2 linked regions of the Macaca mulatta genome follow. The protein of the gene in region 1 interacts with the protein of each later gene in a biochemical or structural test. Links are inferred from orthologs where the notes say so. Each region holds a gene or a part of one and is shown on either strand. Other genes may lie near its edges.

What was found.
Region 2: the proteins of MAP3K11 (region 1) and MAPK8IP1 form a complex in vitro, tested with the Homo sapiens proteins (2 studies listed by BioGRID). The link is inferred for Macaca mulatta from reciprocal best matches to the Homo sapiens genes MAP3K11 and MAPK8IP1.

What each region holds. Positions count from the first base shown.
Region 1 is NC_133419.1:8,792,371-8,796,174, reverse strand, and holds the end of MAP3K11 (mitogen-activated protein kinase kinase kinase 11), read right to left. Parts: intron 2,290-3,804; coding exon 1,915-2,289; intron 1,155-1,914; coding exon 817-1,154; 3' UTR 296-816; downstream 1-295. UniProt on the Homo sapiens protein: Activates the JUN N-terminal pathway. Required for serum-stimulated cell proliferation and for mitogen and cytokine activation of MAPK14 (p38), MAPK3 (ERK) and MAPK8 (JNK1) through phosphorylation and activation of MAP2K4/MKK4 and MAP2K7/MKK7.
Region 2 is NC_133419.1:19,718,627-19,722,430, reverse strand, and holds part of MAPK8IP1 (C-Jun-amino-terminal kinase-interacting protein 1), read left to right. Parts: intron 1-864; exon of another isoform or gene 865-1,264; coding exon of another isoform or gene 1,265-1,335; intron 1,336-2,463; coding exon 2,464-2,569; intron 2,570-3,804. UniProt on the Homo sapiens protein: The JNK-interacting protein (JIP) group of scaffold proteins selectively mediates JNK signaling by aggregating specific components of the MAPK cascade to form a functional JNK signaling module. Required for JNK activation in response to excitotoxic stress.

The sequences.
Region 1 (3,804 bases):
TTTGTATTTTTAGTAGAGATGGGGTTTCACTATGTTGCCAGGTTGGTCTTGAACTCCTGACCTCATGTGATCCACCGGCCTTGGCCTCCCAAAGTGCTGTGATTACAGGAGTGAGCCACCACACCTGGCAGAGAAAAGCCTTGAATGACTCACCAAGGCTGGTGGATCTGGTCCCAGGAGAGGGATGCAGTGCAAGGCAAGGAACTGCCTATTGTTGGGGCATCAGGACACCATGGTTGCATGATAGGTTGGGTCACCTGGTTACGTCCAAGAAAGGTGACAGGCTACATGTGGGGAGACAGCTTTTGAGTTTATTTGGCTTCTGGCTTCATTGGATCCCGAGGCTAATACTCCAACCCTGGCTGGGGCAGCAGGAAGGCACCCAGAGAGCCCTGGCCCCAGATGACCCCCAGGGCAGGAGGCCCATGCTCTAAGCCCTAGGGCAGGGGCCACAGTAGCAGGACTTGGTCAAAAGTGCTGGTGACAGCTGAGGCCGGCCCCTCTTCCCTGCACCTCCCCTCCTCCCTGCATCACCCCTGCGGGCAATTCCCTGAGACAGGCTCTGGTCCTCCCAACCAGCTGGGTACAGTGTCGGGCCCCAGTAGGGCAGGTGAGCTGGGAGGTTTCAGGTATGGGGGCGCAGGCCCCCCATCCAGTGTGAAGGCTTCCTGTGCAGTGTAGTGTTCCTGACCCCCAAAGCGGGGGTGGGGTCCCTGGGGAAACTGAGGCAGCTGCAGAGGCTGGCCCAGCTCCTGTTCCAGTGTATGCTGTGACTCCTCTAAGGCAGCTGGAGCTCGGGGGAGTGGCCTGGCCCACTCAAGGTCCCGCCTCCGGCACCCAAGGGGCCTGGGCACCCATGTCTTTGGTCTGTGCCCTGCAGTCCTGGGGGCCTCCCCGGAAGGGGTTGGCAGGTGGGGAGTCCCAGAAGGGGTCTGAGTCTGGGAACAAGGTCCAGGGTGCCCGGCGGGGTGCAGGCTGTGGCGAAGGCAGGGGAGAAGGCCGTGGCCCAGCCGACACAAAGCTCCAGGGATCAATGCGGCTGCGAAGGGGTGAGGGCCGAGGTCGGCTGATGAGGCCCAGGGGTGGTGAACGTGGGGTGCCTGGGGTGCCAGGAGCAGAGCGTGATGTCCCGGGTGGGGGTGAGACAGTGCCTCCTGTGAGATATAGGAGGGGCACAAGGTCAGGCAACCAACAACTCCTGAGGTCCCCAAGATACACTGCCCTGCTCTGGGCCTCAGTTTCCCCATCTGCACAGTGAGCTACTTGACTCAACTTCTACGGCCCTTCCTGCTCTGCGTGCCTCTGTTTTTTCGTAATGGTTAGGAGTGAGGCCTCTGGAGCAGGCCGGCCTGTATGTCCCGGCCCTGCCACTTACCAGCTGTGGGAGCTCTGGGTCCCTTCATCTCTGTGCCTTAAATTTCCTTATCTAAAAATGGGCATCTAAGAGCACTTAGTTCTGTGGTTGTTATGACTGAATGAGACCATCTCGGGAAAGCCTTGTAAAGAGTACTTGACACAAGTTAAGGAACCAGGAGTTTGCTACTATTATGACTACATATATGCTCTGTCGCCCAGGCTGGAGTGCAGTGTCATGATCACGGCTCACTGCAGCCTCAACCTTTCAAAGCTCACGTGATCCTCCCAAAGTGCTGGGATCACAGGCGTGCACCACTGCCTGGCCTTGATTACTTCTGTTATTTCACAGCAGGCATCGCCCCCACCTGCCTGGACCACGTGATAGCTGAATTTAGAACTCTGCTCCCTACATGGTCTTCAGTATCCCAAGCGCCTGGTTCAGGGTCCAGTAGATGACTGTGGTCTTGGCCTTGCCTCCTTGCATGTCCCCAGCCACTCCTCCCTCCCTGGGGACCCCCATCTCCCATCCGCGAAGCAGGCCGGCCTCAGGCCACTCACCGCGGGGCTCCTCCTCACGTCGGGGGCTCTTGGCTGACCGCTGGCCTGCAGGAATACCCAGGTCCAGCAACAGGGGTGCAGGAGTGGGCGGGGAGTCGGGCGTCTTGGGCGAGAAGCGAATGAGCGGGGAAGGGGGCGGCTCGGTCGGGCAGGGCGCGGGCATTGGCGTTGGGGGTGTTGTGGGGGGATCCCCACGCTCACGTCCTTGGCTTCCCGGTGGCTGCAGGTCGCGGCCGAGGCCCAGGGAGGCAAGCAGGGCGGTGCCACGCAGTAGCGCACGCTGGATCAGCTTGGGCGTCCCAGAGCTGCTACCGCGCTCTGCGGGGAGAGGCCTCTTGGGTTCCTCGGGCTCCAGGCTAGGCCGTAGGGGGTGACCTGCGGGGCGGAGGCGGCACAGGTGACGGCATGGCTGATGCATCTTCAGGATGAGGGCCCAGGACCTCTCTGCGGTCTTGGAACTGAGTTCTGCCCTCTACCAGCATCTTCCCTGGTCCCACAGGTCCCACGGCCTCCCTACCATGCACCCACACTCCGGCCTTTCACAAGATGGGTGCTGGGAGGGGAGGGCAATGCAGGCGGAGGAAGCGACAGCAAAGCCTGACGGCAGCCAGTGACCCAGACCCCAAAGATGGATGGGCAGTCCCAGTGGAGGCAGGGCTGAGGCCAGGTCACGGTGGGCCTCCATGGCCTGCCAGGGGCAACCTCCAGGTCCAGGGCCATGGCAGGTCCCACTGACTGGGACCGGCGCCCTGTGCTCTGTGCCCACCCGCTTCCTGGCTTGGCAGCCCTGCCCCTTCTGCCCACCCACCCCCACTCCAGCTGTAGCTTGTAAGATGCACACAGTCAACTCTAATGTACATGGCCGCCTTGAGGAGCACAAATCCCTGTCCCTATTCTAGAAAGGAGGAAAATGAGGTTCAGAGGGGTCAGTACCTTGCCCAAGGTCACAGCTAATTTACAGAGTAGGTATTTGTGCCAGGCCTGAGCTGAATAACATAGGGGCATTATGTTGTCTGATCCTCATGCCCGGGGGTTCCAGGCTTAGAGGTTGAGGGCTTGCGCGGAGCTGTACAGCCAGTGAAAGGTGGAGCTGGCTTCACCCCAGGCAAGGGCAGTAGAGCCTTTGCTCTCCACCATTTCCCAACCAGACTCTGCCCTAGATTTCAAGACACTAGTGTCCCACTTTCCAGTCTAGGGTTGGCCTGACTCCATTCTAGATCACTTGGGCAGGGATGGGGAAACCGCTCATTAAGGAGAAGGGCCTCTAGGATGGGCTCTCACAAGCACTGATTTTGGCTCTAGAATCTGCTATGGCTCTATAAGAAAGTCTGGCCTCCTCCCTCTGCCTTTCCCCTCCTGCCTGGAGTGCAAAAGCAGGTTGGATGTCGGGAGGAAGAAATATAAGGCTGGGAAAAGTGAACTTCTACTATGAACCAGGACTCAGCTGACAGTCCCTTCTGTCAGCCACAACCCTTACTCAGACTCTCTGCCTCTTACCTCACCCAACTCCCACCCCGACCACTACCACTGAAGGAACAAGGGAATCCTTCTAAAATGCAAACCGGTTAAAGACAGGTCTCTGCTTAAAAACTACCCATCACTTCCAGCTTCATTCACTCATTCATTCAATCAACATCTACTGACCCATGTGCCTTGGCCCCTGTCCGCAGCCCCAGTCCTGAGACTCCTTGGCTCTCAACTCTTCTCAGAGTTCAGCCAGGTTGCCTTTTCCTTGGGTCTGGTGAGCTGCATGCCTGTGCACACACTGTTTGCTCTGGCTGGCTGACCTTTCCCACCTCAGCTTTCAGTGACCTCTTACGTACCATCCAAGACCCACTGGGATGTCACTTCCTCTGTGAAGCCTTCCCAAAATCTCCCTGAACCTGCATA
Region 2 (3,804 bases), about 11 Mb from region 1:
CCATTGCTCTCCAGCCTGGGTGACAGAGTGAAACTCTGTCTCAAAAAAAAAAAAAAAAAGTGCAGAGGTCACTGACAGAGCAGGGGCATTTGAGGGCACCTCTGGGTCAGCAGTCCTGCAGCTCTCCCATGCCATCTGAGTCCCCCTTTGCACCACTGGCCTTCTCGGTGACCATCTGGGCAGCCAGTGTGAATTGAACACTTACTTGGTGTCGGCCACTGGGTTACTGTCCCTGAGCTAGAGATGCCACCCTGTCCTGGACGGATGCAGGAGGGCTGCTCTGGCTTCTGGGCCAGGCCCTCCTCCCCAGTTCCACCCCAGCTGGCCGGCCACACCCTCCCCATGGCCCGGGGAACCACCACCCTTGGGCTGCAAGTCAGAAGTGACCCTACAGGGCACCTTGTCCATCCAGCCCCCATCCCCCACCCCTCTGTGCAGTGCCCTCCAGGGGCCTCCAGGTTCTGTTTATGTCACTCCAAAGGGACAGGAAGCTCGTTACCACCCAGCAGCCCTTCCAGCTCTGCTCTAAGGGCCCAAACACTGGCCCGCCCTTAGCTGTGGCTCTGGCGCCTCCTGCATCCATAGGCCCTGCCTTCCTGGGTCCTGAAGGCTTTGAGCCCTGGCTGCAGGAGGAGGCAGCCCAGATCAAATCCAGTCTGGATGCATCCTGGGCCCACAGAAGCCTCCCAGATGAGGTCGGAGGGCTGAGCCTATGGCAGTGCGAACGGAGTGTTCATTCTTGAGGTGTTTGGGAAGTGCCCCCTCATCTCCCACCTGGCACCCTGACTGGGGCACTGGCCCTTTAAAGCCAATCAAGGGCTGGCTTTTGGGGGGAAACATCCTAGATTTCTGCCATCTACTTACAAGCCTGGGCCAGGGAGGGGGGCCACCTCAGTCCCCGACAGGGGCATTGGAAGGGCAGGTGGAGCCAGTGGCATTGATTGAAGTAACCTGATCCCGTGAGGGAGGCGGCCACAGTGACAGCAGCGCAACGGCCAGCTGGGAGGAAGCTGCCTGCAGCTGAGGGCTGCGTTGGGAAGAGCTGGGGCTGGGACCCGGGTCGGCAGCTGCAGCCTCCTCTCCTGGCCTATCTATTTTTAATGAGCTCCCCAGGCTTCTGCAGCGGGCAGGACGCAGAAAGACAGGCCCAGGCGGTGGAGGCCAGAGGCCCCCAGCCCTGCCCTGAGCCCTGGCCCCCGCACCCTTCTGGGCATGAGAGGGCAGCCCTGGGGCCCCGCAGCCCCCCTGCCGGGCAGGGCTCTCCATGCAGCTGGTGCTGAAGATGGATTCGAGCCCAGACAATGACAGCTGGTTGGAGGATCAATGGGAGCGCTGGTAGGGGCTACCGGGGCTGGCAGGGGTGGAGACCAAGCTGGGGTGAGCTCCATCGAGCTCAGGGTCTCTATTTGGTCTGATTGAGGCGAGCGGCAGGGAGTCTAGGCCTCCTAGGTTCCCCTGGGGGCTAAGCCACCATCTCTCCTGGGTGACCTTGGACTCGTGGGTTTCCCTTGCTCTGTGCCTCAATTTCTTGGACTTATCTGGGAAAAGCCTCATACATTCTTCCCAACTTCCCAAATGTTCTACCCTCCAGCAAGCCAGGCAGAGTGCCCAGGACTAGAGGTGAGCAAGAGACAGGCTGCCTTGCAGTGGCTAGCCCAGCTCTGCATTCTGAGGTGGGGACTCAGGGCTGGCCTAGGGAGAGGGGGGTTCTGGTGAAGCTGGTTAGTGTTGTAGTGCCCCGGTGCTCTGAGCTGTCTCCTGAGCTTATAACACCTCTGATTCCACCTGGGGCTTTTCCTGACCCCATGTGTGCAGCCTCCTGTTCAGGGTCCTTACGATGGAAAAGGAGAAGATTTTGTGGTTGAAGAGATGAGACCACCAAGTGCACAGCATGAGGCTATAGTCCTTTCTGGAATAGGCTGAAACTACCCACACCAGATTTTCCTTCGCTTGTTCCCTGGGCTCAAGGGGCATGAGTCTTCCTGAGCTGGGGCGTGGGGCCCTCCTTTGAGGCTGCTGCCAGCACCTCGGGTCTTGCTACTGCAGAGGTTGCACTGGGAGCTCTCCTACTCCAGGCTTGCTGCTCTTCTCAACTCCATGGATTCTCCATGGTGAACTGGCCTTGGCACCTGCCTTGACCCTGGGAGGAGGCTCTGACCAGTTAGGCCTTCTAAGCACTGCCTGCTGGTTGGCAACAGAATGACAACTCCCAGGGAGGAGCTGGAGTAACCCAGAGCCGCCTCTTCCGCTGCCACCCTAGGAGGATTGCCTTTTGGCCCGAGCCCCATGCTCTTTCCCTGCCTGCTGACTACCCCCTGCATTGACACAGATGGACCCCAAATCCTGTCCTCTGGGGGCTGTGTTCGGCCTTCAAGAGGCTGCCCCCTGAAAGAGGTAACAGGGAGATGTGAGCGGGCATAGCAGTGCCCCTGAGTTGTAACTTTGGCTTCCTGTCCCCACCAGGCTCACCCACGACATCAGCCTGGAGGAGTTTGAGGATGAGGACCTCTCGGAGATCACTGATGAGTGTGGCATCAGCTTGCAGTGCAGAGACACCCTGTCCTTACGGGTAAGGGTGAGCTCCCAGGAGCTCCTGAGTGGGGTGGCAGGAAGACTAGGGACGGGGTAAGGGCATCCCCATATCGATAAAGGGGTTTCAGGTCTGTGCTGGCACCCTCATGAAATGAAATGATGTGCAAGAAACATAGGTATACTGCTTGGCATGTCTTGGGTGTACAATCAGAATTTTATTTATTATTATTATTATTATTACCGCTGTCGGGGACTAAGGCAGGAAGTAGCTCCTTCAGCTGCCCACAAGATGAGAGAGGTAGGAAGTCTTGAGACCTAGGGCATTAACAATTAGGACCAGACTTAAGGGAGACTCAGGGCTACCCTAAATCCTTTTGGGAGCAGCCCTGGAAAGGGCCTGAGGCAGACAGGGTGGAGTCTGGTAGAATCTGCAGTGCTTTGAGGCAGGAAGAAACAGCCAAGGCACTCCTGGAATAACTCCTGTGGCTGCTGGCTGCTATACACCAGACAGATGGCACTGCATGGCCTCCCAGACCATCTCTGGCCCCTAGTCCTAAAGGCCCCCACTGAGGAGTTTGCCCAGCATTGCTGCTGGTTTGGGCCCTTGGCTTTGTCCTAGGGAAGATGACTGTCTCCTGTCCCTAAAGATCTGAATGCTGCCAGGAAGTCCCCAGCACCTGGGGAGCTGCGGTCAGATGGGGATCCCAACTATGTCTTTTCAGAACAGGAAGAAGGGGCTGGCTAGCCAGGAAATGGAGGACAGAGCACAGGGGTTGGTTTTAGAGCCCAGAGCTCCTCTGAGCCCCCAAGAGGGCAGGTAGCCAGATATGGTGTCAGGAGAGTGGTTACCATAGGAGCATGCATTATGCCTTGGGGAGGGGGTGCCTGTCTCTGTGTTGACCTCCTGCTACCCCCAGAGACTCAGTAAGCTCTGCCAGGCAAGAGGAAACCAAGGGGTGTGGATAACCCCCTAGTCCCCAGTACCCCAACCTTCCACTCTCCGGCCAGGCCAGGAAGAGGCAGAGGCCTCTAGATTTGGGGAATGGTCTCAGGGCCCTGACTTAGCTTCTCAAAGGTCAGGCACCTGTTCTGGACTCTCACCCTGCCCTCTCCCCCAGCTGCACTAGCAGAGCCTTGGAGAGGGTTGCCCCCCAGCTAGGCAGGGCCCCCAGGCACTACTGGCCAGAGGTGTGCCCCTGAGGGGCCTCAGACAAGCTCCAGCGGGCTTCACACACGTTCCAGTGAGTACTCAGCTCTCTTGGAGGTTGGGAG